Neodiprion lecontei: one gene and its partners. The protein of the gene in region 1 interacts with the protein of each later gene in a pairwise test. Links are inferred from orthologs where the notes say so. Each region holds a gene or a part of one and is shown in the gene's direction. Other genes may lie near its edges.

Region 1 (8,021 bases):
TATTTATATGTCTCACGTGTTTTGCATGTGACCGTACAGCGTATATAACATACGAATTATTCCCAGTTGCTCAGTTTCGCGGACGTAGGTGAATTATTCCGAATTTAAAATGCAGTAGGCCGCGCAGTAATCGTAAACATCATTTATACGCTCGGAAACCGTATAAGTCTGTTTGAGCCGCAATAAAATTGTTCAAAACTAAATAAGTAGGATATTGTATAACAAGGAGGCAAACTCGGCGAACAAGTACACGAGGCCAGAAAAGACCGTTGCCTTCTTGTTGCAAGCGATTCTATATGTATAAACAAGAGTATGTTACACGTTTTTTCACAAAGCTCGAATTCGAAGTTCGGGTCGCGTGATGTCAGATTTGTTCGCGACAGCGCATGCGCGCAGTACTGAAAAGACCACTTTCAACTCCTAGGATTTAAATGTGGTCTTTTCAGTACTCCGCGCAGGCGCATTCATAGACTAACCCAGCCGTCTTAAAAACGGGTATTTTCTGTACGAAAAACACACGTGGAAAAACGCGTAAAACATGCTCGCGTTATATAAATATGTTTCTTTTTTTTTTACTTGGAGCACATGAAATTTGCACATTCCTTTGCCACATCATACGTCGTGCGTGAACGAGCTGTATATTTATATTTTCGAGTACAGCCTAGCAGCGATTCGCGATGTCACGCTTTGACACAAACCTCAAAACTTGTAATTAGACGATCTACTGGATTTCATCGACTACATGATCGTGGTCGTCAGTTCAACAGACGTAACGAAGTTTCAGTTCAACATACAGACAGAAGAATGAATGACCCGATTACGATTTACAATTAGTTCGTTTTCCATTCCGCTGTGTTTCCGTATTTTGATTTTTACCCCGTAATACTTACAATTACATATTCTTCGTTAGTTTGCCATATTTCCAAGATGTTAGTTCATGCCAACGATACGAACATCTTAATCCTTGAACCATATCTGTAGTTTCCAGTGTGGTAGCATGGTCCAGTTATCGCGGTTTATAGTGATACTTCGTACCTTTTTCGTATAACGCAGGTACTAGAACTAGCATTCACGTATGAACTTGTTGCGGTGTTCCTCTTCATACGCACTATTAACATATTTTGCTGTAATACCGCAGTGTCAAATTATATACTTCAGCCTATGGAGGTAAACATCAACGCATTAGCTATGCCATTAATTAATTTAATTGTCAAATTAACAGCAGCAGTTCTGCATCCATTGCGTCACGTGTACTCATATTCTGATTCAAGCCACACTGCAGATTTTCGAACAAGATATTGGGTATTCATTTTTCATCCATCTCGGAATGGAGCAAGGCCCTCAAACTTAATCTGAGCGGTACCAAACATCCCGAGATCGGATCGTCTATCGGCTGCCAATTTATCCGCCATGTATAATCGAGAACTATGTTTGGACTAGCATAAGAAACATTCCATCACAGAATTCACGGAGAACGTTTTCTCGAATCAGTATAATACGTATAGTTCGTTCGATCGGTGAAAAATCCATTTATACTTGTACGACCACAATGTAAAAAAGTTTTCCGTTTGGCACGAAAATCTATACACATGTAAAGAAACGTACCGGATAATCATGATCCGTGATCTACGATTAAGCCCCCCGATTGGTATCATAGTCGCGTGAATCACGCTTGGAGATCTACCTATACAGGGGTTTGTAAAACATAGAAACGGCAGGGCCTTCGGGTGTGAGCAATCGGGCAAACCGAATACGGAAATTGCGTGCAGCAAAGACCTTATAGTAATCCCCGCTGCTGGGTAGGGGCGCAGTGGAAAGGCCGACGGTGGACGACGTTTCCGTTCGGTACCACACCGAGACGAGCCCGACGACCAATCGCGTACCGACGACGTACGTTCATTGATAAGCGCGTACTCCGGACGGTCGGGTGCGGGGTGTTCCTCGAATAGAACGTGACGTCATGTAGGCGGCCGGTAGCGCCGACGCCGAGGGCATATGCGCGAGCGTCGCCGGCCGTGATTTCGGGGTTTCGGGCGTCGAGCGGGGTGGTTTCAAAAAGGATTTCGGGGCAGCGCGGATCACGGCCCTTGCTGCTCGCGGATCGTCAAGGTGACCTTGGGCCTGCGATAACCGTTATACGTGGAATTATCACTCGGGGGGGATATGCCAGAGGGTTGCAGATATCGGAGATTGTCGGCTATATTGATTGGTCTTTTGTGCGAAAGCAGCCACTACACCTCCTGTCTAGCTCTCTTTCTCTAGGAGCGGAGCGCGTCATCGATCCGCGAGTGACCCATATCCGTTGCCACTCCTCCCACCTCCCAGCTCCCACCTCCCGCCACCCCCAACCCACCCCGCTCGCCTTTTTTCCCCTTGTGCCTCTCGCAGCAGCCCTGCCTGCTGCCAACGAGCAGATCTTCGCGGGTTCGGGATGATAATCCAGTGAAACTCACTCCGCGACGAACTCCACCTGCAACAGCAGCCCTGGCCTGCCAAAATCCCTTCAATTCGGTCATCGTAAGTTTCAAACTTAAGTCTTTATTTCTTCATTATTATCATGACGGTATAAGGCACCGTATAAGGATCTTCGCTGATCCTCATTCGCCCTCTCATTATCATTTTTACATCCAGTGTCGTGTCGGCTTTGTTACGGGCCCCGATATTACCCTCGATGGCGGTCTTGTCATTCGAGAGAAAATGATGCTACGAACATTCGGCTATGGCTACATCGTCTATCGTGATGATGGTAATGGTTGTGCAGGAGCATTGTAGTGGTCGTGGTTGTAGCGGTTCAGTGGTTTGTGCGCGCCCGGTACGCGGTTGGTGATCAATAAGCAGTGTCGTATCAATTCTGGGTGCTGTTCGGCGTTATCTGATGATATCTGAACGGTTGTTGCCTTCAGCCATCTTCACCCGACACCCTGGTCCAAAGTGTATATCTCGTTACAATTTCTCTCTCGAAAGTTCAACTTGTCCGAATTTCTGTCCCACTTGATTGCGATATCTGCAGTTACGGAATTATCGGTCTCGCTTCTTCCGCATAAAACGCGTTATTTTACCAGTATATCGAGGTGATTTCATAATAAATACGGAAATATTTCAAGTTTTATGAGAGAAGCTTGATAAGTCCCGTCAACGTTAAGCGTTCCAAAGTATGAAGACTCGTTATTGTCAGTTTCAACTTACGCTCAGTGATCAGGTACAAAGTGTAGTTCATCACGGTATTTCGTAAATTTGTAAGACATGCATCCGTGTGCATGAATGTGGCTCTGTATATTATTAACGGTAACAATATATAGTGCTGTTATTGCGAAATTGTTGCAAAAGATTGAAATAAAAAACAACAGTAGCAGGTAAAGGTTCAATAATCATGATGCAATGCTACAGCTGGTAGACAATTATAAGAATCATCGATCGTTCTGCCGATTTCGTCTCGTTTCCATTATCGTTCCATAGTAAATTTTCATTGCGACCCCCGTTCCGGAATTCGGTAGTCATCTAGGCGCGGAGACGACGATAAAGGTGGTGCCGCTCGCTCGAGTTACGCCACTGTAGACGAGTGGGGGGTGGTTTTCTCCGTCGGTTTTCGTCGTCCTCCGACGCCCGCCGTCGCGGCGTTCCGTCAGTGACGGTGGCGGGTTCCAGCAAACGGTGGGCCGACCCTTGGTCACTCGAACTGTACGTTACACGTCCGAAAGATAGTCGGGATTTGGGTTGAACCCGATTTTTTTGTTCCTCGCTTTTTCTGCATACTTTTTATCGCCTGTACCTTCATCTTCCGTCATACCCGTGGCTGAAGAATGATGACGAATAATACGAGACGACCTCAGAACGAAGGGTCACTTTTTTCTTGATAAACACCTCGACCCCTTTTTTTCTCTACCCTTTCATCAGAGTAGCCACTGTCTTGACCGCAATGTACAGTATACTATTTCTCCAACGAGATAGAGATTCTAGTGTCGGAAATTACATCCTCTGAATTGATTGTCGGGTTTAAGCAGTGATCAGATAACTGGATATGTTACAGTGCTGCGGCGTTGGAGGTGGAGGGGCATCGACGGGGCCCCAGCCGCCACAACTGCAGGGGACCAACACAAGAACCACCATCATGCAAGACCCCGTCCTTGAAACTATCCTCGAGGTGAGTAACTCAGGATGAACTGATTCGACTCGACGGGTGGTCCCGAGGGCTTATATTGTATCTTTCAATTTTCGAATTTTTAATCCGAGTTCACTGATTGGTCAAGCAATGATTCCGATTGGCTGAAAGACCGGTCAAATTTGAAAGTACGCAGCAGAATAGACCTTTTATGGAATGTTACCCTTATACTTTAGTGTGTATCGAATTGCATGATAGAGAAACAAAAGTACGCCGCACCTTTAATTAATGCAATAAATTCAAGTAACTAATTTATCTGACTATGCAGAATTATTATTCATATGCTGGGTATAACGAACGGAATTTAGAAAAGTTTAAATCTACCGTACTTGCCCGGTATCAGCTTCTAATAACTTTACGTAAATATTATGCAAGAGTTGATAGTATAATATGTTATAATGCACTTTCACGACACTCCCGTAGGGTCGCGTTTCAAACCCGCTCACACCGCACACGGTATGTGTACCAACGTGTACGTATTGCCGGCCTGTTAAGCTGAGCGAAAAATACCGAGGAATGTTTGATATGCGTTCAGTTGCCTAACGTAATTTTAATAACCTTTATGAGGCTACACGCTACCGTATTGGATTTTCAACACAACTTAATACCATGTAGCTCCGCAGGCTCAAAGGGCCTTTTCTGGGCTGATTCCTTTCCAATTTCATGATGGCGTTGCGCGTTCTTACGGTGGCGGCGATTTTCTAGCGCATGTCTTACTTCACTGCTAAACCGTCGTTTCCGAATGTTGAGCTTTAGACAGCGTTGACGCTTCAATAATACGCAAATCTCCTTAATTCGATTTTCGCTTATCGTACATATACTCCTCCAGCTTTAGTTAGATATTCAGCTATCCTACTCGACTTCGAATTTGACAGCTTAGCACAGCCGGCCACAGCAATGAAATCCACAGGCATGTCTATGCAACTATTTTTTGAACTACAATACAAGACCCTCAAATAACTCTGCGAATAACCGTAATTCTACCATGAGGTTCGGATGAATATCCGAAATATAACCCAACACTCTCAGCAATTATATATCTCTATCTTAAAATGAAATAATCTAACGTAGCAATTCGTTCGTTTCATTCTGTAGCAAATGCGAGAGGCCGAGGCCCGCAGAGCAGAATTGGAGAGGCAACATGCGGAGACGCAGGCGCAGTTACGTGACAAGTTAGCTGGCCGGTATCCAGGACCAGAGTCTGTTGAAGCACTGCAATCGAAGATTAGGGAACTCGAAAAGAAAACAGAACTCCAGATGGTTAGACACGAAGAACTGTCCCTAGAGCTGACCAGCTTGAGACGGGCACGTAGCAGAGGACCGGTTGCTAGCAACGTGACTTCAACAGTCCCTATGTCCACGTGGCCCCCTGCTGGTTCTGAAATTGATCGAATTATTGCCAAAATTGAACAGGACAACAGGTGATAGTCATGGTGTAATACAAATCTATGTGCTTCATTAAGCATTTCATTCAGCTTCATAACGCTACATACTTACCAGATTTTGCTAATAGAATCACCCACATAAACCAGGGAAATATATTGTACCATGTAAAATTAGATATGACACCTTATTACTAAAAGTAATCAATGTGTCCAGTGGTTCTTGTAATGTAAATATAAACTGATGTGGCTCAAATGACGCATCGAAAATTCAATTGCAATACACTGGTCGACCAAAAATATCCAGTTTGTGTGATATAAATAGTCAGAATGCTAGTAACGTAATAAGTAGAGGGTGTTATTTGAAAATGCCTTAGAAACCTTGTACCACCTACATTCATTCCATCTAATTCTTTCTGTCTTTTAATTTCGATTACACACACTCAGCTTAAGTAAAACCAGTGCCAGTAGGATTCTGCACGAGTTGGATCATTCGAGGAGCAACGTGACAACTCAACAGCCTTCTGGTTCCCAAAGTATATTACGTTCAAGTTCAGAAAATCTTCCCAACTTGGGGCAACATCAGCACCCTCCACATCCGCATGCATTAAACCTTGGTCTACCGTCACAAACATCACACGTGAGTTGTCATTGATAAATAAGCTACGATTTTATTGCTCTATAGAATATATAGAATGACTCTTTCAACACTAGTTTCTAATACCTGCACAGCTTTCTTTGTATGGTAACATTATTGTACTAACTTATCTGAAAAAATATTTGACAATATAGTAAGTTACTCATGCTGATATCTGTAATTAATAGTACGCTGGCTCTCCGATGCCATTAACACCAATGATGCCTGGCTGTCCACCGTTAACACCAAATGGTCCACCGTACCACTACAGCGAGCCGATTCCACCTGCACCATCTCTTTCAACTAGCCAATCACAGCCTGCGTTTCAGCAGAAGCTACAACAATATCAGCAACAACAACAGCAACAGCAGCACGAACTATCAAGCTCGCACTCACAAGGCACCCTACCGTCTCAACAGAAACAACTACAAACACACACGCAGTTTTCCGGCAGTCAATATCAAGAAAGTTATCCACATACACAAACGTACCAACAACCAATACAGCAACAACAACATCCTGTTTCAACTTCGTACTTAACTTCTGCTACCGGAGGTCAGAATGTCATGCCTCATTATACGCAACCGAGTCAGACAAATCAAGGCTATCAACTCAACGGTACTCAACAGGTAGGTTTTTCCAGCAACAATAATACGAACATTGGTCAAGAATTTTTCCAAGCATGTTTCTTTGCTTTTTATTACACGCGAATACCTGGTGAATAAAAAATTGGAAAACATAGTCATTATAAAATATTGTAATATACTAGCAAGTTAAGATTCATGGTAAAGAAGACCCAGGCAAAATGTACATGATGAACAGTGAAAATATGTAGATTTCATAAAAATGACTTACATCCTCTAATTTTATCATGTCAATGGATTATTTTTTATCTCATTAGCAGACAACATACCCAACGCTGTCCATGACTTCTCATCCCAATGGAACTTACAACTCTGTAACAACCAGTTATGCATCGCAACTGACTCATCACAACTATTCTGGACCACATACAAGTATCCCCCAGACAACACTTTCTTCTCTTCCACCATATTCGACAACAACACCTGCCTATCACTCAACATTGGGTACCTTGACTAGCTCCTCACAAAATATGCTTCCTTTTTCAACTGGGCAGAGCACGTTTTCGACTGCTGGTTCTAACTACTCTACAGTTGGAACAAATGCATACGGCACGTCAGGAGTGAACACAGGTATAAATGATGTACCACTGATTAAAAAAATTCTCCTACCAATTTTTCACACAGCATACAACTTATTTGTATCATACAAGTTCATAACTTGTTTTTATTACAAATTAGGTCCTACTTCAAGTGGCTTATTACAAGCTATAGGAGATCCCCTCCAAGCTATGCAACAGTTGTCGGCGCAGTCACAAGCTAGCCAACTCCAACAACAAGCTATTATACATCAAATTCAACAGAGCTTGCGAGCCAGCTCGCCAACCGCCACTGGATCAACTGGTCACCACTTTTTGGGACCGAGACAAATGCCAAAAATCCCAACAGGCATTTTATCCAATCCAATGGATCGTCTGACTAATGACAATATGGTGTCTGAAGGACAAGTGGACATGTTAGATATTCCTGGAAAAGGCAGGTGTTATGTTTACATCGCACGGTTCAGCTACGAACCTTTCCAGCATTCGCCTAATGAAAACCCTGAAGCTGAGTTGCCTGTACAAGGCGGAGATTATCTTTTGGTATGGGGACAGCCTGACGACGATGGTTTTCTTGATGCAGAGACGCTAGATGGTCGACGAGGCCTCGTACCAGCAAATTTCGTTCAAAAATTGGTAGGAGATGATCTCTTAGAATTTCAT
Region 2 (7,957 bases), on another chromosome or scaffold:
TCGGAAGGGGAAGGCATGAATGAGTACGTTACTGTACACGTGTAAAGGTATCGCAAGAAAGAGTAAACGGCTGAAAAAGTGGATTAAATTTGCGAATTTACATCTCAACAACCAATTATTCAGTTATGTCGGAGATATTCATTTGTAGATCGAGTTTTACTTACTTGTTTTTTATTAATTCAATTAATAGGAAGAAATATCGAAACAAATCCTAATCGAATTGAATAATTGGCTGTCGAGACTGGAGATACGAATTCTCAAGATTCTTCAACTTTTCCAACCTCCGTTAACTCAACGGTTGTAACCAGTAGAAAGATTTATAGAATTATCCAATGAACACCAAGTTTATTTGCACTCACAAAAGACTTCTTCTGCCATATTTGGTAGAGTGAAAAAGACTAATTTTCGTATCTTTCCTTTTTGGGTGCAGTGTAACATTATGCGGTGTATAAGGTGTCCTCGTCAATACTCTATTAAAAATTTCACCCCCGGATATTCCCGCCCCCCGAATTCGGTTCTTTGCCACTCTTGTTCTGCCCCCTTTCCTCCTTTTTGTCATCCCGCACCTTCGTTCTCTCGCCTCGAGCCGGTCGGTCGGTCGTCTGCGGTCTCCGCTCATTTCTTACGCCGCGTTGCGGACAGATCTGATTGATGAGCGTTGGACCGGTGCCAGAGATGCTGCCGACACTGCTGTCGGCGCCATTTCCTACAGCGCATAATCAATGCCCCCCGGTAGCCACCCTCCCGTACCTCCTTTTACCCCCTTCTACCGGCTAGGAAAAGTTGCAATTTGTGACACGTGAGATGCAGAAGTACGTATAATAACGATAACTCACGCTACTTCTACCTCAGTCTTGCAACCTCGCATGCTCCATTCCCACCGAAATCCTCACAGCGTGTTTCTCTGATCGGTTTCTCTCTGCAGTCTCCGTTCCTTCCTACTATTATACGTCACGCGGTTTTAGTCTTCTTTCTTATTTCAGGCACATTATTTTATACCATTGATAACGTGACTTTATCCGGTCGTTCATATTTTACTATTATTACAGTTTGATATCTACTCCTTTCTCACACGTTTTTACGTACAAGTGATTTTTGCAGGCTAAATTCTCGGTTACTAGAAATTGGCTGAACGTGAAATTATACTTCAGTATCCGATGTTGTAATTTTCTGTGTCTTGAAATAATATCTGATATCCAACGAGCTCCAAACGTTAGTATAGAGCTGAAATAAAATTCCCAGTGTGTCTAACAGCAGCCATTCTGATTTTGCGTCTATATTTCGAACCTGTTGACGAATACCGTAAAAAATATAATGCCAATCTATAATTGTCTGACGTTAATTCACACCAGACATTCTGACCGAAGAAATCATGTTTTACCGAAATATTTGTTAAATATCTTTGCATTGTGAAATGTATCTCTCATGTTAAAACAATTATTGCAATGGATCTCCCATTTGTAAATCATCGATGCTTCAGAGAAGTTGGGCATTCTTGATTTCTGTGCATTTTTAAGTAGCGCATAAAATTGATAGATTACGTTTTTGGATTTTTGAAACATAGAATTTCTTCAATGTACTTAAAAATCGTACTCAAATCTAACGAATAGTGAAGGGAAATATTGAATTTCAATTCTGGAATATCTTCGTAAAGGAAGCAGTAACTTTTTTATTTTTGGAATAATTTTCTTTTACAGCATATCCCAAGTTCTAAAAATGCATGGAAAATTGAGTTGTTAGTCCAGGAATCCCGGAAAATTCAAAGAATTTCGAAGACAGAAAAATAAACAACAGAAGAAAATGGAAAAGACGAATAGGAAGTGAAATAAAAGAAGAAGAAGCAGAAGAAGAAAAGGACGAAGTTTTCAACCATCCAGCCTCATGCTTCCCGGCTGTAAGTCATAGCTTATGGGATAGGCGGGCAAAATGAGCATCTTAAGGGCGGAATAACGTTAGACCAATTTCGACAAAGCAATTTTTTTTTTGCCTATGGTCCAAAAATAGATTTCAAACTTTATCGACATTTGTTAAAATGTCATTTGTTTGTATAATGGACCCATTTTCCCTGCTAGGGCCCATCCCGCACGCCTCTCCCCTACCACAAAAATCCATAAAATAAAAACGGGCAAAAACGGAGATGAAGATGCAGAAAAATACATCTCGGATGAATCAATTGTCCAAGGCGTTTAGGATTCCACAAGTATGGAGGAAAGCACGGAAAAGCCGAATGCCTTGATTCGGTTTCTCATTTGCGAAAAGCGGCTTCTCCAATGAATCCGAATCGCCTCCAAAGAGACTTGAATTTGCTTCGGCGTAGTCTCTCTATATTCAATGCAATTTCGCAATATAAGTTATACTCACGGATCGACGATTTCCAATGAATCCCGTATACTTCAAATGATTGGAAATTACTTTAAATCAGCGCATTGACTTTGATTTCCACGATTATTTCACAGGTGAATGTTTACTGACAGGAAAACGCTGGGAAATTTGTCATTCGTAACAACAAACACCAAAAATAAAAAAAAAAGAACGCTCGAGAGTAAAAGAAGTTGATCCAAAGGTAAGCTGTTTCAATAAATACGGATCAGCAATTCGTTTACGAATTCGCGATGGAAAAACAAGGTCACACAGAAAGTTTCACGCTGATTTCGAGGATTGAGCCCTGATTCCTGAGATGCGAGTAGTTTATACCTTCATTTTTAACCTCTCTGAATGTTGCGCAACAAGTACCGCGGCAGATGATCTCTGCAACTGATCGGTTGAATTGAAAAAGAGGAAACAGCAAATAACCACATCAATTGCAATTACAGTTTTTCCAGTATTTCTGAAGTAATTGACCCACAAGTTTAAACGATACTGCAGGTTACTATTCAACTACACCTATAGTTGTAATCAAGGCGAATCAACGCTAATCAACTTTTTCCAAAAATTCGCTCATACACAAAGATTATTGCGCAATTACACGAACATTTTACGTAAAAAATCTTTGTGGAATAACGGTTATTGATCAGACATTTTCAGACAGACGGATTCAAACATTTATAGTGTGAAACCAACATGGCCACCGTTCGGCGCTCTTCGAGCTTTGTTTCAACTCGATCATCTTCTAGACTTGACAGTTTACATCAAAAACCATTTCAAGGCAAACTATCTTACAGCTGACAATGTAATACGAACTGTTTTTGAAAGAACTCCGAAGAACTGAGCTTATTGTCATCTGCAAAACGATTGAAAAGTTATTCATTTTTAGGTACACTTGGACGTATTTTGGGGATTATTTTGGCTTTATTGTGGTCAATGGAATAGAAGAATTCGATCCGACATAAATATAACTTGAGATAAATCTAATAGTGATTTGTATGTATTAATTCGAATAATTCGATTCGACGACGATTTGCACACCGCCAATAATTATGTAAAACCCGTTTTAAAGTCCTGTTTTATTAATTAATGCCATGATAACACCGGTCTTTGGGAGGCATGAAGTGTGCATGGCCGTGCGGCGGCTTCCGGAGAACGCGTCGAGTCAAAATTGGCGGTTCTCCGGCGTCGCGGGAGCATCGACGTGGTAGAATTCTTTGGGGGTTGATTCGGTGGTAGTGGAGTCGTCGCGATGTCGAGCGCCATTGGCGTTGGCGTTGATCAATACGGGGCGTCGGGTGACGTAAGCAGCGTCCCGGTCCGAGGATTGGCCCGAGGTTCGCTCCGCATCCGATTATTTATTCAGACCGCATGAACGAGTGATTTGGCGTCCGGGTGCCCGCCGCCTACGCAGAAGAGATCGGCCTCCGACGGGCACGGGCATTGCAGCCCCTGAAGAGCCGGAGCGGCTTGAAGCCAGCCGAGATACATGCTCGGGGGGCGGCGGCGCGGAGAAGAAGCTTTCCGCCCCCGCTTCCGCGGCCCAGGTGGCGCCACCTGCGCCAACGTCAACGCGAATAAAGCTCCCTCGGCAATAGTGTTCGCGCAAATCGTCACCGGAGAATGGTGGTCCGGGTTGAGGCCACGCCGTGTCGATGGTCGCGCGGTCGGCCCAGCTTCGAGAAAATCCACCGAACGTAACGCGCGTCGGTTATCACACGTTATTGTGCACGGAAGAGAGCCAGGCTGAACAGCCGGGTAAACAGACCAGTGATATCCACCCAGTGGAGAGCTGATAACGGAACTGCGAAAGCGGATCGGGACTGAAGAAAAACCAGGCATAGCCGTTCACGGGGTTATGGGTGTGGATCGCGCTGAGTCTTCGTTCCGCTGCCCGGTGTTGTTCGAGCTTATTTTCACGGTTGGAAACAGCGGTCGGTTGGCGGTAGGCAGATGAAGATCGGGTGAGGAGTTGAACCTCGGATACTTACTGCAAGAGTGTTATCTGGTGACAGACTGTGGGACGCGCAGACCGTGGTGATAATATGTCGTGTTGGGTGAGCAGCGGGCCCGATATTAGTCCAAAAGTGACGCTAGCGGTGAACAGAGACTGGTGCGACCCTCCTCGACGGAATTGACTCCCCTCAATACCCAGACAAGTGGAGATCGAATTGTCGGGACTGTGGTCCGAAACCGCGGACCCTGGATGTGGGGTTGTTTGCTGATGTTGGTAGACCGTAGTGCGCGGAAATTTTTTTATTAGTCAATCGAATCTTTCGGCACTCACTGGGTGACTTTGAGTACTGATCCGTGAGCGTGTGTGTGGCATTGAACGTTCGTCCTGTTGAAATAATCCTGAAACAATAATTTTTTCAGTCTGAAGACAACTTAATACAGCTAGAGGATAACCATAAGTACACTAAAAAAAAAAATAAAAAAATAGTGCTGCATCATAACGACGAAGCCGCCAACTGTTACTGTTCCGTTTTTGAGCCGAATTATCTCTACGGTTTTCTTATTCCCTCCCTCTGTCTCTCTTTCTCCTCTATCTATTTCTTACTTTTTTTCTTATATTTTGACGGGATTTATACCGATGCACGAGGAAAGTGCGTACGACCTGTTTTTCGTTCGAAACTGTACATAGATACCTACTACTCGCGGTGCTCCACATATCGTGGACTTGTGACCTGACCCGTTTGCCCGTTTGGAATCAATGCTCCTGGTGCTGCTGGTGGAATCTCGTCCTCTGTTGAAGAATCCTGGATCCTTGACCGGCGAAGGATCGTCACCTGAAAGCTGAAGTAGTAAAACGAAGAAAAACCGTAGAACTTTAGAGGTGCATGCCAAGGTGATCTGCAGTTTGAGAAGTGAAAACCGTCATACGCTGGAAGTGAATTATAGGGTTGTAGGTGAATCCTATTTCACGATTAGAGAGGGAGAGAGATATAGAGAGAATTACCGCCAGCTATATAACGATGGTTGTGTGCATGGCGTGGATTCATTCAGAACGCGTTGCCGACTATTGATCCTGACTACGTTTACCCGTTAAGGAGGATTTATTTGTATCCCCCTCCCCCCCATCCCACCTCAACCCCCCGTCACCCCTAGTCAGTGCAGTGGTGCAGCAACGACAGCAGCAATACAAGTGTGACGTGTGGAGCGCGTTACGACGGTATAAATAGTGACAAGAAAGACGAGGCAGGAAGATGAAGAGAGAGGCAGAGAGAGAGAGTGCATGGCTGGAGGTTTAATCTAGCCTTGATAATACACCTATTCAAGCCGCGGTTAAATGATGGTAAAACCGCCTCACATTCTGCGATCATGATTTGTTATACGAACGATGCGAATGACGCAAGTGCAAGATACCTCAAATCAAAGGACATTCGCAAAATCGACGATTCACTTTCAGAGACGACGATCAGTGTAGTTGTTGGACCGCCAGTTGTAGAATTTTTTAACCTCTGCAAGCTACTGCAGCGTGCTTCCGGATATTGTAACGATAATAATAATAACAATTATAATAATAATAATAGTAATAACAACAATAATATTAATAGTAATAATTATTGTATATTTAGTGCTGCAGTGACGATAGTACTGAATCGGTGCAGTTTATTACATAGAAGAGTTTGTTTGAAGAGATCGACGCCCTTTATTGTAACGGGTGCAAATTATTGGTGGAGGATTTGTAACAGTGGACTTAATGAGTTCATAGTGATTTGTCTATTAACGATCATAATCGAGGCGTTCCTCGGCTTTTTTTCGTCGTCTTCCGAGGTTTTTCTTGTCTCATTTTCACGCCTTGTTCGCCGTGTTTGGCTCCTCGGTGGCGGATGACTCCGCCGACGAGTCGCCCCGTAGTTGTAGTCAACGCCCCATGTGTCTCGATCAGCCTCCTGGAGAACAGGCGCCCACTATCCCGGCATTACGGACCGCGGTTTGTTCCACAGCTCCAGCTGTTGCCCCTAACGTGCCGGCATTTTTTTATACCTTTATCAATTATTAAGACGGAAACAAAAGTGGAGGACAGGGTTGCGCCCCCGGGATCAGTCGGGCCGTGATGGCGGACCTCCCAGACATGTCGCACCTAACTCCAGAAGAAAGGCGCATCATCGAGAGCGTCATGATGCGCCAAAAACAGGAGGAAGAACGGGAAAACGAGATTATGAGGTTAGTATTCACCAGATGTCATCACCCACCGTCAATCGTCCAAACACTTCGTTCAATGTTCATAACATTGCAACACATCGCAGGATGCACTATCAAGAATGGTGCATGTCGAAGTACCAATAGCAAAACATGACAAAGTCAGAAAACCGTTCATCCTTGTTGTGAAAGTTTCATTCGTTCAGATTCATTTCAACCATATACTCCCAGAATGTGACAACTTATCAATAGTTATCCATTCTATGACTTTTACCAAATTTTTTGGTCACGTGACTTAACAATCTAACCTAATCCAATCGATCCAGATCTAACTTACGTCCTGCCACAAGCAACAGATTATTAACATGGCTTCCGGTATATTTCAAAGGGTGGTCAATAGATTTCATTACTTTTCTTCAAATGCTATGGGTGTGTTTATTTAGAGCTATTTATCACCAAACTTGAAAGAAAATGTTGGAATTATACTTGACATAACGATGTTTGCAATGCGCCTGGTTTTTAATATCCAACGAACAATATTCCCTGGAGGTATTACGGTATATTTTTCTGAACTGTTCATCTATTGCAATGTTGATTTTTCAAATTTCTAACCCAATCGCTCGCAGTTGATTGCATTGATTTTATCTATGAATGCCTGACACGTAAATACATTGACGGAAGGTGAAAGTTATGGGCTATTATGAATGGATTCAGGGGAATGTTATCTTCGCTACGAAAACTTGACTGAGTATCTAAATAACACTGTGTATCATCTATGTATGTATGGTTGGCAATACAAATGCAACTCAAGAGAGACGTATCGCGCAACGATAATGAATATCATTTTTTCATCATACCAGCAACGTGCAGCCTAAATTCATCATAGATCACCATGATCCGAGAACTTTTTACCCTATAAAATATTTTCATAGTGTAATTATATTTTGATTCCTTGAACGGTGTATGATTATTACGTGTACTTCAGTTGATTAATGCGTAAATAGGCGATAGATACTTGAATTCAGCGATGTTGTCGGAATTATAATTACATTGGATAAAATTTGACGAAAGTACTAAAGCATTTTTGCAACATTCTCTAAAGGTGCACAAAACACAATGTAATGAAAGAAATTGATATTTCAAAAGTGGGACAAGTCATCCTAACAATTTATTCACGTTTATTTACAACAATATTAAAGCATATCCAACGAATGGCGGTAGTTAAGATTAAAACACGTCCTGAAGTATCAAAATCTGAGTCCGTTCACTTGGAAAATTTGAACCTCGTGCCGATTGATAATCAATTCACGTTTTGGAGATACTTGCTGATGTTTGTAACGAAGTGTAAGGAGAGCCTAAAAATTATGTAGGAGAACGGATATATGATTAGACTGGTGGAGTAAAGTAAAAAAACATACTGTTAGAACAAAAAAAAAATCAAGCGAAT
Region 3 (7,714 bases), on another chromosome or scaffold:
ACTTTACACGCGATACTTGATAGCATTCCATTTTCACTTCCCATGCTACAAAGCGTCGGAAATTAGCCTAATACCGTGAGTAGAATAAAGAAACTAGTGTATGTTACCGTCTCCGATGCACAAGGACGCCTTTATTGCACATGATCTTGTTGTTATTTCCGTGCAGCAAGACACGTGTCGTCGAGTGAGTAACTTGAAATGTTGCTCAAGACTGGACCGTTATGTCACGAGCAGTGAGCGTGAGTGTCGTTTCACGCAATCCGAAGAACTGTTCCGACGCAACGATTTTCCCGCGCTCCTACCGGTCACCTATCGTTTCTTTAAAAGGTGGGACTGGTTCCCAGAGGGGGAAATTATCATATGGAATCACTCTACTCCTGCTTCTCCTCCGTCTCCACTTGCCTATCCTCCAATCGAATAAAGTTGGTTTCGCTGCCGAGATTCGACGTGTTCAAGAAGAAAGAATCTAGGATCCTTAATTGTTCGGCTGCGGTATACGTACTTGATTCGATCAGCGGGCAAGCAGCTTACCTGGAAAACTTGCAACGCTCGAGCTAAGCCTCCAACTTGATTCTTCAGTGAGAAGATTACCGAATTTTTATTCTCCTCACTTGCGTCCCGCTCAGTCATCGGGACCTGGACACGTATAATCGGATCAGAAGATCGTTCATTTCTGAGGATCAACGGTCGCCTTCGTCACCGATTTCATGTACTCACGTCTGGAACCTTGTGCATCGGGCTTCCCTCTTTGATGGCCCACTCTTGGCCTCTTCTGTAGAGCCACATGCCCAAAAGACCTTTTCCAGAACCGCTCATAACTGTTGCGTATTTACGTAGGGATTTTATTTGAAATCCGCAGCCGCCGCAAGGCTCAGGAAAGAAAAATTTCACGTGTTCTTAATCGAAGATTTTCGATTTTACTTGGATAAACACGTCTCGGTAAAGAACGCAACGCAGGTTCAACCTCACTCTTGGATGATGCTTCTATCTCTCTTGCGGAAGGACCGACAGTGTTCACCCTGCAGCCGATTCCGGTCTTCTTAAGCTTTTCACCCCTCCGCCGTGGCGTCCTCGCTCCCTGTCTTCGTCCAACATCGGCTCCCGATTGGTCCCTGAGCAAGGGGATGACGGGCAACTATTGGCAGAGACGGTTTTCTATAGGAGTACGGGGATTATGGGGGTGGTTCGTTCTTGCTCCTGAGGACGCTATCCTCCCTCTTTCCCGGTCCTTCCGGCAAACTTGCGGCGAGACCCTGTATAATCTCTGACGTCCTTGAATTCTGACCTCTATCCTCACCTCTTGAGAATATTCACGACGAATTACGGAAACAGTTGAAACAATGAGAAGTGTAACTTTGATTGTTGGAGAAATAATCGATTGTTAAAAATTAGCAGTATGTCGAGTTTGTATTATCGAGCAGCTTTAATTAATTTCGAACACAGGTACTAGAAAATCTGTTAAATTTAACCGAGTTCAGACAGATTATCTGTTCGTTTGCTGCAGAAGACTTCTTCATAAAATGCACGACCAAGTTACGTCAATTGGTTTACAAATGAGTTACTAATTGGATTCGTCGTGTACGGGACCATTGTTGATGCACATCTGGCATCGCTTATAAACCGAGCAGTATCATAACGCTCCAAGATAGTATTTAATTTCGCAGACACGGACCGTTACACACTCACTCTTTTGTCCGTGAAAACGTGAACTTTCGTAACTCCAGAGCAGCAGTCCGGATCGAACCAGACGAACAATTAATCATTGCACATAACATGTCCACGGACGAATAATGTAGACGACGGAACGATTATCCTCTGATCGGCAAGAAATATACCACGTATCCTTCTGCTGTCACGATGTTGCGTACGTTACGCAGACTTGACTTATGTATTCGACGGGAGTACGTCGTAATTTGTCGAGAAAAGAAAAAAAAAAAAGAAAATGCATCAGACGGTACGACACTGTGCTCTAAAATTGCGAGATTGGTCTTCTGGATGAATGTGTGTTTAGTATGAGAAAATGCTGGGGAACGAGAGTAGGAGAACGGAAAGCAAATGAGAAAAGGAGAGACAATGCTTAACAAAAGCCCGAACCCACTTCTCTACCCTAGCGAGTCCTATCGGTTCTCACCGCTTCTCCACAAAGCAGATACAGCACATTATCCAGCCAGCCCATCACTTACCACTATCAGCTACTATCCAGAGGCAGTCGAGGTGGCCGAGTTGTACCGGGTGTTTCGCTTGGTTTTGCAATAGAAAAATAACGATCTTACAGACCTACCTTGCTGCTAGAACGCACTTCATCCATGTGGTGCATCGAAAGGAACGGTGACGTAAATACATGCCGATTAAAAATGGTCAGCAGGGCACAAGCGTCATAGACGAAGTTCGCAAGCGACATCCAGTGGCCTGATTATCGTGGGATTTGAGGTGACAGACGCCTGTACCAGACTTTGGCTCACCCGTGGTCTGGGGTGTGGGCGATAGTCGCAGGCTACACTGCGTATATCTCTGGAAGTGTCTGTTTCACCTTGCTTCAATTACTTACGGCCCGCATCCATCGGGGAGCGTCTCATTCGCTGAGCGAACGGCAAGACCGGGTCCAGATGAATGGCGATGCTCGGACCGTCTGCCGGCATCGGAGATCGGTTTACTGCTTCTGCCCACTTCGTCGAGTGTTATGTTAAGGGTGGCCCAGTACCGGCCCTGTGGTTATCACTCGATGTCGGTAGCTGGAAACTCTGAGATATGACTACATGTACTTCGATAAGCATGATGAATCGGCATAAATTTTTATACGATAAAGAAAATTGCGTGAAGTCTTTTCAGGCTCGTTGTAACAGGTAGACGGAGGTCGTACGCGATTCGGTACAAGGTTTCTCTCAGGCAATATAGTACTCGTTGAGAGCGGGGAGTTTTATTCATGGAACGAAAGTGGAGAGGAGTCTCCTGGTTATTTAAAGAGAGCTTCGATTCGAACTAGCGTTTGCAAAGCCGGTGGGAGGCAAATGGTTAGGCGCAAGATGATGGGCATTCGGTGTTGGCAAACACTAGGATCCTTTCAACGACGTTCCTCGGCACGAATGATGGGACGGAGGTATGCTGAAGAAACGAAGGCGGAAGCCAGCCGAAAATTAAAAAGCGTACGAAAGGTGAGACCACTCAATTTCGAGGTGCTTCATTGGCCGAATTAGGGGAAGGACCTTGTCAAACCGCATTAGTTGTACAAGGTAGTCATCGTCCAACGCGTCAACATCGGTATCCGTATTGTAGGTACTTCTCACGATCGTTAACAACAGCGGTTTAGCCAAATTTTCTCTAGGTATAATCAATGCCACCAGTGTCCGAACTCTTGCAATTGTTTGCTTGGATTTGATGCAAGTGGTTCACGGGTGACGGGACGGCGTTTAGGCGCTGCATCACACGAGTAGAAGTTTCGTATTTCGTTCATCCCTCTGCGCCCCCATATTCGTTTTTCATCTCGAGGCTCGCTCGAGGGGTGCGCGCGTCACGCTGCGTCCAGGAATCAATAGGTTTGCGACGCGTGCGCCGCCTTCGTCCGGCCCGGTCGCCTCCGCCGTCGGCCGCCTCCACGGACCGACCTTTCAAGAATGGCTGATTCAGAGTTTGAAGAATTCCGGCATTACTTTGAGAGACTGCCTCAACATCTCAAGGCACCGATATCAAATTACACGTGAGTAATTTTATCAGTTATCTTTCCATCCGTGGTGGATTTTACTGTGGAGGAAAACACTTGACACGTTGAAGCCGCTCGCGTTGATGAAGAAGCACCCTGACATGCGACATCGTTTTCACTATCCTTGTCAACGTTAATGGGTCTATAGGACACGGTGATATTTATAAATAACGTCACAATCATCATCGATCAATGGTTTGTTGGGGCGATCCACGGTTGTCAATAAACACGGGGTGCAATTTACAGCATGAGTAAAAAATTCGTCGATGCAGCGTAAATAATGACAGGGAAAATTGTTCTAATAGAAGAAATATAACTACATCATCCTGGTCGACAAAATCTTTCTGACCATTTGGTACAACTTGTGGTTTGCCGAGCCTTAGTGAACTGCAGTTTACGAGTATGCATACATATTGTATACAAATGGATTCTCAGACATTTCTCATGGCAACTGTCAAATTTCGTATTCCTTGTATTCTGCCAGCCTTATTTCAACTCAAATTTCATCCAATAACGTCTTTTTAATGTTCCGCAACCCAGGTAGAGGGGGTGAATCAAGAGATGTGGTTTCAATGTACTTCAGGAGTTTCAATCGATACCCGAAACACTGTAATTGAAACCAAAACTATTGACATGTCATGCAGGAGAGGGGGGGGGGGGGGGGGGGGGGCAGGTAAAAATCACCAGCCGTGATATTGAAGCGGAATGTTCATGGTCGGTAAATTATATGAACCATAAACGAGCCGTCCAAGATCATTAGTATATAAAAAATATTTTAGGAGCGTATTACAAATATCGTTGAAACCCGATGTGCTCCCAGACTTAGGGTTTCAGTTTACCACAAGAGCATGGTGGTCAGAAACTTCATCTGCGCATTGGAAAAACGGAGTAAGTGTAGACGTTTCGTGCGCTCTAGTAAAAATCAATGGCTGGCTATGTGATCAAACGTTTATAAACTATTCTTCGACGAGGTCTGGTACATACATGTCCTTCCGTACGGTATTCAAACTTTGGGGTCGGCGTGGTGAATTTTTTTTGGTAATCAATAGCATCTTAGGGAAGAAAACGTACGCGCTTCGACAGCTTCTCTTTCAACAAGCACTTTCAGACCAAAGACCGATGAATCGAAGGAGAGAGCTTACTAATCTGGAATCTAGTATTAAGCACATGACGTGAGGTAGAAGAGTGAAATTTATGAATGAGCGTTACTTGTTTCGTCTTTCATCTCGCGACAGACTGGTCCACGATGTCATGGTCGACGATTCACCGACGTCCTCGCAGGGCAGCGACGGAGACGTCGGTCAGAATGGTGCAGCCGTGGACTCGGAGGACGACGAGGTTGTCGCGCTTATTCATCGTCACGGAAACCACAGCGAGCAGAGCTCAGGAGACGACGACGAAGAGCTAGACCACCACTGTTCCATCGTAGCTGACAGCGACTTTAGGTATGGCAAGTGCACTTTCCTCGCATCTCATCTTTGCGTGGGTTCTCGCTCATACGAACGGCAGGCGAGTCCGAACCCGCGTAGCTATGAGTCTGTTTATAAGATCGACTCTCGATGGGAGGTTAGAAGATTTCAATGGCATGTGAGTAGACTAGTGACAAGGACACTGCGTTGGGTGACATTAGCTTGTTCGGTGGACTGAGCAGTAGGAGGCGATCGGTTTCCGGGGCTGGAGGAGGACAAGGAAGATCGGAAGGTGGAGGCTGCGGCAGGGAGAGTGTAATCAGTGACGTAGGTGACTCCTGCTCGAGCCTCAGCTCCTGGCCCACTCCGGAACACGTGCCGTCAAATCGTAGCGGAAGCGGGTGCACCGCAAGCGGCGAACGCAGGCGGAGACGACTTCCGGAGATTCCAAAGACGAAAAAATGTAAGCATTGCCAGTTCTACGTAATTCACATCGGTTGACACGTGACGACGAGTAAACGTGCTCACGGTGTATTGTTGAAATTTGTATTTCCATCGGTTCTCCCGAGCAAAGAAAAAGTAACGAGACTCGGGAGATTATGCCGATGTTGTCGTCGTAACTTGATCTCCGTCGATCGCCATTTGCGTGAAACATTAGCAGCCTCTGATCACAAATCATGTGTGACGAAAGGAAATAGAGGCTTTTGCTGTATGAGGTTGACATAATTAACCGCAAAATAGACAAGCGTACAGAAAATAACCGCCAGAAAGAGAGCAAAAGGAAACAAAAAGAAAACTGCTGTATGTAACGAATCAGTTCTAGTCTCGATCTTCGGAGAATTCAGTCGTTACTTACCTTTATTTCTTAGATTATTCGAAATAAACTCGGTGGAAAATAATAGTCGTACTCACCGAGTGCTACAAAGACACGGTTTATGAAAAGAGAATCTTCTGCAATTCCAATCATCATGCATTACTCTTGTGTCTACAACAGGGGTGAGTTTCACAGTCGTAAAAGCTCTGTGTTTCCTTGAAAATTGATTGGATCGTGAAAACATAACGGTATACATTAAGAAAATCGTTAGTTTGAAGTGAAAAGAAATATCATGCTCGTAAATGTGGAACCTGGAGAATTTCCTTGAGTTATGAACGTATATAACTAATTGACAGCCGTGTCGATGTGCCATTCGTCTCTTCACTCGTCTCCGTCGCTCGCCGACGAGCTGGGGGCGGCAACGTCAACGGCGGGACGGCCGCATCTCGTTCTGAGGAAGTATCATCCGCGTCTCCGTCATGAGGATAGTTCCCCGGACAGCGAGAGAATGACGACGGACAGTGGCCACTCCACCGCTCATTCCCCAGACAACGGGCCCAAGAGTGTGTCTCCAATTCCGTGCAGCACCGTACAGAATACGAACTCAGTCTCGCCGAGCAGCACGCCAGGTGAACGCAGAAAAAAAAAAAGCAGAAAATAAGTAGCAGAATTAGTAAAGCTTCGATTAGTATCCAAATCTACGGTGGTTGTAAAAACAATACCTTATTCGTATTGAAAATTTGCTCCCTCCAGGTAGCGGTGGAGTTCCTTTCACGCAGCTAGAACTACTGGAGGCGACTCATCGCGGGCTGCACAAGTTTGTGCCGCGACATCACGACGAAATCGACTTAGAGATCGGGGACCCGATATACGTGCAGAAGGAGGCTGACGATCTTTGGTGCGAAGGTATGAAACTCCGGCGGCAGAATTGTCTTCGATAAGCAGAGTGAGCCTCTTCTCGTTTCAGGTGTGAACCTGAGGACTGGCAGACAAGGTATCTTCCCTTCGGCTTACGCGGTGGACATGGACTACAGCGACTTCGATCCTTCGGCTCCGAAGGTGAAACGGGAACGATACCTACTGGGATACCTCGGATCGGTGGAGACTCTTGCTCACAAAGGAACGGGCGTCGTCTGCCAAGCCGTTCGCAGAATCGTCGGTGCCCCGAGTCAGGAATCGCCCGCGTCTCAGAGTTGCATTCTAGAAGTGTCTGACCAGGGTTTGCGGATGGTCGACCGGAGCAAACCGCAGGTAATGGCAGGGGAGTATTTTTCAACGATTTTCGAAAGCCACCGTCTTCGACGGAGAAGTTTTCGTTTCACGAAAGAAGAACCACAGCTCTATAGCCCTTCGGTCCTAATTAGAACTCTCACGAACAATATGTCTCGTTTTTTTCTGTGGTCCCTGCAGAAAAATCGGGGCCCTTGCCACGACTACTTCTACTCGCTGAAGAACGTCTCGTTTTGCGCTTTTCATCCACGGGATCATCGCTATCTCGGATTCATAACGAAACACCCAACGCTCCAGAGGTTCGCCTGTCACGTATTTATTGGCCAAGAGTCGACGCGACCTGTTGCCGAAGCAGTTGGGTAAATAAAAACTATATTGATATATTGCGTATGTTGCATGGTTTCTGCTTACGTAACGAGGAACGTGGATGTCTTGCGTCTTCTGTTGCAGGAGAGCCTTTCACCGGTTCTACACGAAATTCATCGAGACTGCTTTCCCCATAGAAGACATCTACATAGAGTAATGAATTGCTGAAATATAAGTTGCTGTTGACGCTGACGATCT
Region 4 (7,982 bases), on another chromosome or scaffold:
TCGCATACGTGACGCCTGATGTTCCGGGTAAATTCGTAGCCCGATTCTGTCGCGCGAACTGAGGCGCCGCGTGAGATGGGAACCAATTATTCAACCCCTACGGATCGGCCGCAAAGACGGAACTCTGCAGTTATCGAGTCAATCCCGTCGCTTTCGGGATATCGGGAACGAAATTCACGGCTACACCGACGATGGCTGCGACTTTTTACTTGTCCTTAATTACAATGCGGCGAAATTGTATTTTACAACAATATTTTTTTACTCCCTGTTCAGGCGCGAAGTTTCACAGTTATTGAAAACTGTTATATTCCTCCCATTGTTAATGCATGAATGAATTTCCACGAGTACCTACTCCAGTTATAACACTATAGTCGCTTCTGACTCAACTGTACGCTAATTGCATAAATAGAAGTTCGTTTATATATATGTAATAGCGATCGATTCCGACAACGAGTTGCACTACGTGTACAGACACGCTACAAGCATCAACTGTATTCCGGATACCGAGCCTTGAGGGATCCTCGTCAGTTTCGCGGCAATGAATTCAATACCCCCGAATGATCGTGTCCCTCTGAAATAGATACCTTTGAATATCATCTCTCATCATGTTTTTCCCCGGTTTGTGTGTCATCCTCTCCTCTTATCAATATCCGTCGAGAATTCTCGAACGCCGATAAAGATTTTCCAACAATTATATCCACGGTGGCCGAGACTCAATGGTGCATGATTAATTCAAATAGAGAGTTAAAGTTTAATTGGCTTTACTGTCCCGACTTGGTCCCAAAGAAACTTCGTACTTGATTAATTGAGCGCTAACGAACGACTCGGCGAATTTTCTCTCGAAATTAGGAGCTGAAATAATAAAAATGATAACGCGTAACCGCCACCTGTTCCGGAGACGCCCATGCAACTGTTAATTCGCATCTGCAGGTCTTGTTGTTGGCCAAATATCAACGCGGATAGACACGTAGCGACGTAGTCAAAGCGGGATACTCGTCGCTAATCATCCCTGGTTATCTATCTGTAGGTAATTACTATCAAGGAGAACGGCGTGGGTGCGGGACAAACGCCGATTAGCCAATAACGCTCGGCTTTCCGTACGCGGAGAACTTATGTAGGTATGTATATAAGCCAGGATCGCAGGTGTGTACCTACCTTGTTCCGCATCTCAGGTTGAAACGTCTAACGGCGCACAGCCGCGGATGGATCGAAGAGGACTACGGGAGGCTGCGGAGCAAAGTGCGGGCGTCATTGATTAATTAATTCTCCGCTCTGGTTCTCTGCGTGACCAACGATTGCCTCGCAGAATCAACCGGGAATACCCAAAGCAAGGGGTTCAGGGGACGTGATTAACGAAAGTGTCTATCTGTGGCTCGATCGAAATCCGACTGCTCGCGTCATTGAGAGATAAGGGGGATGTCGGCTGGAAATTAAGCTTTTTCCTTGGAGACGACGGAGGGAGGGGAAAAAAGCGGAAGGAAGAAAAGTAAATCTTGAAAATTGGAAAACAAGAATTCTGAAAGCTCCTCTTGCGTGGGCCGCGACGCCAGTTTCTCCCGTAACCATGGCAGCGGAAACGTAGCTACGCTATAAATTCCAAGACGTTCGCTCCAGCGCGCGGAACGCGTCTCTAGCTCTTACATAGATCAGCTCTGCAGGTAGCAGTTTTCCTCACCTCGGCTAGATTCGCCACCCCGCTAATGTGGCTTGGCAGAGCAAAAACTTCCCGCTGCATTCTCGTAACGAGTTGCTTCAGCAGCTCCGTTTTCAGCCCCGAGGTGCAGGTTGTATTTTCAACACCTTTAGCAACCCGCAGCTCCGTTTACCGCCAATCCTCGCGTTCCGCAATACCCGAAGTCGGGATCGCGGACGTTGACGTCGCGGGTGGAAAAACATCGCCCCTGAATTTAGCGATTAAAAGAAAAGAAACTGGCGCATCGCGGGAACTGGCGGAGGATCGAGAAAATTATTGCTGCAAGGACGAAGGGGAGGAGATTGTTCGGCGTGGTTTTCGCGAACCGCGCCGACGAGGATATGGCCGTGGAACGCGGCCGACGAGGAAAATCAATATGGAGGAGATGGCCGCGTGGACTTGCTGAACGCGCGTCGCGACGCTCCCGCCACGTACAAAAGCCACCGCCTGGTTCAATCTCGTCACGTCTCGCGTGCCCCAGGCCTCGTGGCCGATCCGCATCCCCGTCAAACGACTTACAGCATCTCCGAGGCTAACGCCGCCGACTCGAGGACCGCGCCCGGACGGCGTCCAAGAGACAAGCATTAGCGCGTTTCGTTACGACCGGATCGGCGTGCGTGAATTCAAAATGTAGGGTCAATTGAATCACCAGAGGCGCTCCTCGTCGAGGCGCATGCGTAGTCAAGGGGGTGGCGGTCGTGCTCGTCGTCGTCCTCCTCGGGTTGATTGAGGGGTGCCTCAGTAGCCTGGCTACACGTTGTGGCGGGCGGCAGTAGCAGAAGCCGTGCTGCACGGCCCCCGGCCCACATTGGGTCTCACCTGGGTCCGGAGACGGCGGCGGTTAGAAATCGCGACGAGTTTTTACAAAAACGAAATTCTAAAGCTATCGTACGAGGCTTGCTAAACTGGAAGTGAAAACCAGTGGAGAAGTTTATTTATTTACAGTGCCGGAGATAAATTTAACCTTGCGATTCTTTGCCTGCTCTTATTTCCATACAAAAAATAATATATATCAATTTTTCATCGTAATCATTGTTGTCGTTTGTATTTTACAATACCATTCGAGTGTTGTTATCGTGGATTTGCGGTACACGACGATTTTCAATAATCGGTTTATAAGTAATAATACCTTGCATAATTGTTGATTCTATTACATTTCATGATATAATACTCTTTCGATCGTGTTTCGTGTCGCGTATTTTATAACCGTTCTTCTACTTGCCACGTCGGTGATCACAATCGACCCACTTTTTCGGGAGTTTACTCATTTTTTCCGACACCTTCGATATACGTGTTAAGCTGCACGTTTTTTTGATAATAAGTTCGACCTAACATCGCTCAATATTCACGAAGCTGTTACAATATCTTTAAAGTGGCAAAGGAAACTCGGATACCTGTGTTACATTACGTTAAGCACGCATACACGTATATGTGTAAAATATCGCCACCAACGCACGCAAGTTTCACGCGATCGTTCGGGTTATCGCGGCGTTGAATCGACTCTGGGGAAAATGCATAAATTACGTTAATAATCCATATCTGCCTAATACAAAGTTGAGATATTAAACTCGGAGTTAAGAGGGAATAGATAAATAAACGGAGATATAATTATACACGTTCTATAAAATATATTTATCAAGCGTATACAGGCACAGCGTGGATGAACGCAAGTCTGTATGCGCGCAATATCGCTAATGAAATACTAGTACGAAATTAAACCGAAGGAAGAGGGGGGAAAAATATTAAACAAAAATCATTGCTAGTCATTTTATCCTTACGGTAATTTATTGTGGAGTGATTGTAATCACAGTGGCACTAATGCGACAAATTAGTGCGGTAAATAGAAGTGGAATTAACCTAGTGACGAGTTGAATCGCAGTGAATGCGTCGCGAGTTAGATTAAACAATTCCGAGTGTATGTGTGCGCGAGTATAATAGATGCCGTAGAACCGTATAGAATGTTTCGACCAATCGAAAACTGTCAATTATTATCAATGATTGTTTGTTGAAGTTACAGTTGACTTGTCGCATAATATATATACACACAAGAATATATATATATATATATATGTATATTTATGAAAAATAATGATCGTTAAGAAAATTTCGTTATACAATATAAACTTCGTGTTAACAACGAAATGCCAATCTCGGCCTACATTATACTGTGCAGTGTGAGATGAATTTATGATTCCTGTACGAATACCTACAGGTGTAAATCGCACAGATGCTATGCCGCATTTTGCTCGAGTGATCTTCCGTATCATGTATGTATCCGCATCAAAGGTGTAAATCAACCTTCTCGGTATAGGTTGTGTGCTACACCACCGTCCAAGGTTGTAAATGCACATTATTTACCGTAAATAATCAACGACATCAGGTAACCAGCAAGTGAAATAATAATAATTACGGGTAAATGGCGGTTCGCCGGGCTGACGAGATCTTGGCGTGCAGTATGCTGCTTTGTAAGCCGCCGCTTGACGGAATAAACGGCCCGCTCCGTTCAATCGAACCGAGTATAATCCAAGTTTTCCACCCTCAAGTCTCGGCTTTACCCAGCGACGCGCCATTCATAGATTTAAATTACGATATACGCCTCCTAATTCCGCACCCCCGAAACTTGAATTCCAATTCCGTCGTCTGGTATGAAAGCGAGTTTTAACGTGGGTCCAAATTCCCTTCCCAAGGGGGTTCGCAAAGTTTGAGGGTAAAAAAAGTAATACACGCGTCACGCCGAATCGGCTGGAAAAGCAACGAACGAGCCAAAGAGCGACGCAGCGGTGACGTTAATAAAGTGCTTCGCGACCTGGAACGCGGTGTTTGATATTGATTGCAAGCTCGATGCGTAAAGTTGCGTTGTCGACTCTGCAGCTGGCGGCGATGCCAATCTCACAAGGGTGTTTCGCATACGGGTTGACGTGGCGTCGCGACGGGATCTTATTGTTAGAGAAAATTAGTCGCAAGACGCACGCGAGATAGGGCGGTGACTCTTTTTTTTTTTCTTTTCTTTTCTTCCCTCGAGCCTTGGTGATATCAACTTCCGCGAATCGCGTTCTCACGGCATGAAAACGGCCGCAAGCCACGGTTGTTGGCCGCTTCTTCGGCTGGGCCAGTTTCGAAGGGAGTCAGTGTTTCAATTCGCACGATTTCCCGCGATAGTTGGCCGTTAGGGATTCTGCCAGAAATATATTCTACGATCTCTCGCTCCCTCCCAAAAAAAAAACAAACACACAAAAGAGTCGAAACGACAAGTCCGAAATGGTGCCAACGTGAACCCACTTGTTGACACCTAGGTTTAGCCCGGACTATACCTACCACCTACACAATTGACCTAGTAGACACTTTCTATTCAGTACCGGTAGGCAGGCGGGTGTGCCTCTTTCAGTTTCCCACCGTCTCTCTGCACGCCTCTATAAGTCAATAGTCATTCCAGCAGGATTCTCTCATGATATTCTCGTCTACTCTCGTCCCCAAGGACTGTTAAAGAGATGTAGCGGGGCGCGAATTTTCTCATCTATTAACCGACGGTATACTTTTTGACAGGTTGAAAATTACTTCAGACAGGAACACTACCGCGATAACTGAGCACCTTGTACGGTTTTAGAAGAAATAATTGAATGAACAACGCGCCGACGGGAAAAAGATTTTTTTATTTTTTATTTTTTGTTTGTTTTGGTTTCAATTTCAATTATAAACCACGCTCAAATTGTTAAGACGGATTTAGAATCTATGATTAAATTTCAAAAACTTCCAATCTCTGTCAGACCAATTCCTTTTTAGAAACGTACGTTAGTATTACTTTGCCAAGCTATTCTCATTCCGTTATATATGGGTTTTGTATTTTTCCTTTTTTTTTTTTCACCCCGCGTCAAAGCGATTCCATCGCTGTCATTACCTTGGTCGCTCGGCCACGCGCAACCATGAAATTGCCTCCAGTGCTCTTTGTTTTTAGCTTCTTTTTTGTTTCAAGTTTTTTTCCACGTTCATTCGTTGGCCTTTTTCAACGGTCACGGGAATCCCGCAATTTTGTATTGTACTGATTTGTATAATTCAAGCTCGTCGATCCACCCTCCCGCGTTTCTTTCCTCTTGCGCTTCGCCATACAGACCCGCCTCTATTGTTATTTTTTAAATCATTGCCTTTCACCACCACGTTTTGCAGTAAGTCCGTGCATTGAATCTGACGCCAGAAGCAAACTCCGCTCGGCTTACGGCTGGTCACACAATGCCTTGTTCTACTTTACCGTTTTTTTTTAAATTTCACCTCTTTTCACTGGAAATGTTTCTGTCACTTGCCTTTTGCCTGCACGTTAGATAGTACAAGGTACGTTACCCATCGTTGAGCACCTTAATGTTGAGAATAAACCAATTTTGGAGATCACGGTTTTCTTCTGCCACGTTAAAATTAAAGTCACGTAAGCCGCGAGTGGTCGATTTGAAAATACAGATCGCTAGGTTACGATCACAGGATGATCGTTTGACACGTTTCTAATTCTCGATGTTTCCGTGGGGTCGTTTTTCCGAAGTGAGCAAATATCTGATGAAAAACTATCGCAGTGGACTCCGTTTGATTACCGGCAATCAAATCCGCGAAATGACTCAATTTATTATGGAATCCATTAAATTGCATTGAAATTCCGCTTGTTTTCGAATGACGAGTTTTCGCTCAACAGTTTCGCCCTGTGCCTTCAACTCTGCACTTCGACTGGGTTCCGCTTGTCGATATTCTCATCGTATCAAATTAAGATCGTGGTGTAACCGAATCGTAGTACGAAATCAAATCCATTTGGCAGTAACAATCTCGGGGGGTGTCGGGCTTTCTCAATCAGGATCAATACTCCCTACGCTCATGGTGGTCAAGCTATTCGGAACGTGTCAAGCCCTACTTATCCGCGGAACCTGTTTGACCCGGCTTTAAATATTTGCAATCGATGCGAGGTCCAAGTCGTTGACTCCTCTCAGCTCGGTCGAAGCTGCAGGAGATCTTCCGGCACTCCTCTTCTCGCCCCCAGCCTCGCACCCCGCCCCCCGCGGCCACCGCGACGCCAACATGGCTTTGTCCCTATTGTCAAGATGTCCTCCTTTAATCGATATTTCGATAGGTCACATAATACATATTGTGTACGTATATACGTACACGTGCACACCCACCTCAAGTTTTTCACATTATACAGTCCGTTTACACACGTAGATTCCCTGCTCCAGGTCGTCGGCGAATTGCGTGAAATGATTACGCGGACTTTCCGATTTCGCCTTGTTTTCTCGCCGCGAGACGAGCAAAAACTGGGCATTAATTTCGGATCGACGTCGTCCATTGAAGCTCGTCTAAACCTGCGAAGCAAAGTTGGTGAGAAGTCGCTTTTGAAAAGCGTAAGACCTTTGGCGAAGGGGCGACGAAACGCGGTGCGAAGAGGCGAGAGCAGGGTGAAGGGGCCTTCACTGCACTCGTATCAATGGAACTTGAGTGGCTCGTTGACGGGGTGAGCTTGTCCTGTTCTCTCGGGAAAAGCTGTTGCTAAAAATTTCGCGAGTAACGCTGCGCCTTTGTCGCGCAAGGAATTTTGATCCTCAAGCTGATCAATTAAAATCGAGTGAACCGTTGGGGTTCGCAGTTTACTTCCTTGCAATAACGAGATTAGGTTCATGCCCGAAAGTATAGCGGCGGTTTGACGTCGGGGGAAATTGATGTTCCCCGAGTTCTTTCGTTTCTTACATCTTATTCGTCGCGATCGACGGTCAAGGACCGACACTGCAGCATCGGTGAGTGTCGTCGTCACACTTTTCCAGGCTCGCTGCCTGACCGTCGATCTCATAAATATACTCGTGAGAAACATCGACTGAATTCGTTCTGAATTATCACACCGAGAGAAAATTAGCTCCGTTTGGTTTCCCCATAATCCAATCACAAAACTGGGAGACCAGTTTAGGGTAGAAAATAAATTACAACTCCTGAAATCAAACGAGGGTATTATTCGGAGATGTGGACTGTAACCTTACTTCCTGGATGGATCGTAATGACGAAGATGAATCTTGGGCCTTTGAGCTGTAGTCGTTAACTTGAAGAGGTTCAATTAAGCATTCCGCCCCTCGTTCAGCTTTCGAGGTCGTATTATATGCAACAATTTAATTCGAGCGAGAATCATTCTTACACATAAAAATCGATTTAATCCTATTTTTCCTGCTACTTCATTCCCCGTTAGTTTTAGTCGGGAAATTATTTCGAACAGCAGGTTTTTTCCGCGTCGCGCTTCTACAACTCGTGTTCAATGTTTCGCCGTCCAAGCCGCGCA

What was found. The genes of interacting proteins can lie anywhere in the genome.
Region 2: the proteins of uncharacterized protein LOC107224707 (region 1) and regulating synaptic membrane exocytosis protein 2 interact in a two-hybrid assay, tested with the Drosophila melanogaster proteins (3 studies listed by BioGRID). The link is inferred for Neodiprion lecontei from reciprocal best matches to the Drosophila melanogaster genes Rbp and Rim.
Region 3: the proteins of uncharacterized protein LOC107224707 (region 1) and JNK-interacting protein 1 interact in a two-hybrid assay, tested with the Drosophila melanogaster proteins (2 studies listed by BioGRID). The link is inferred for Neodiprion lecontei from reciprocal best matches to the Drosophila melanogaster genes Rbp and Aplip1.
Region 4: the proteins of uncharacterized protein LOC107224707 (region 1) and uncharacterized protein LOC107223403 interact in a two-hybrid assay, tested with the Drosophila melanogaster proteins (2 studies listed by BioGRID). The link is inferred for Neodiprion lecontei from reciprocal best matches to the Drosophila melanogaster genes Rbp and unc-13.

What each region holds. Positions count from the first base shown.
Region 1 is NC_060262.1:35,316,589-35,324,609, forward strand, and holds the start of uncharacterized protein LOC107224707, read left to right. Parts: upstream 1-2,868; 5' UTR 2,869-3,154; coding exon 3,155-3,199; intron 3,200-3,601; exon of another isoform or gene 3,602-3,678; intron 3,679-3,690; exon of another isoform or gene 3,691-3,918; intron 3,919-4,027; coding exon 4,028-4,141; intron 4,142-5,254; coding exon 5,255-5,580; intron 5,581-5,988; coding exon 5,989-6,181; intron 6,182-6,366; coding exon 6,367-6,807; intron 6,808-7,079; coding exon 7,080-7,392; intron 7,393-7,500; coding exon 7,501-8,021.
Region 2 is NC_060264.1:20,881,517-20,889,473, forward strand, and holds the start of regulating synaptic membrane exocytosis protein 2, read left to right. Parts: upstream 1-3,789; 5' UTR 3,790-6,424; coding exon 6,425-6,534; intron 6,535-7,957.
Region 3 is NC_060261.1:43,606,854-43,614,567, reverse strand, and holds the start of JNK-interacting protein 1, read left to right. Parts: upstream 1-3,546; 5' UTR 3,547-3,611; coding exon 3,612-3,694; intron 3,695-4,932; coding exon 4,933-5,142; intron 5,143-5,327; coding exon 5,328-5,569; intron 5,570-6,276; coding exon 6,277-6,549; intron 6,550-6,673; coding exon 6,674-6,826; intron 6,827-6,887; coding exon 6,888-7,171; intron 7,172-7,330; coding exon 7,331-7,509; intron 7,510-7,600; coding exon 7,601-7,673; 3' UTR 7,674-7,714. Other genes in the region: tryptophan 5-hydroxylase 1, read right to left, coding at 532-636, 718-816. UniProt on the Drosophila melanogaster protein: The JNK-interacting protein (JIP) group of scaffold proteins selectively mediates JNK signaling by aggregating specific components of the MAPK cascade to form a functional JNK signaling module.
Region 4 is NC_060265.1:23,952,341-23,960,322, reverse strand, and holds the start of uncharacterized protein LOC107223403, read left to right. Parts: upstream 1-3,814; 5' UTR 3,815-3,960; exon of another isoform or gene 3,961-4,073; intron 4,074-7,982.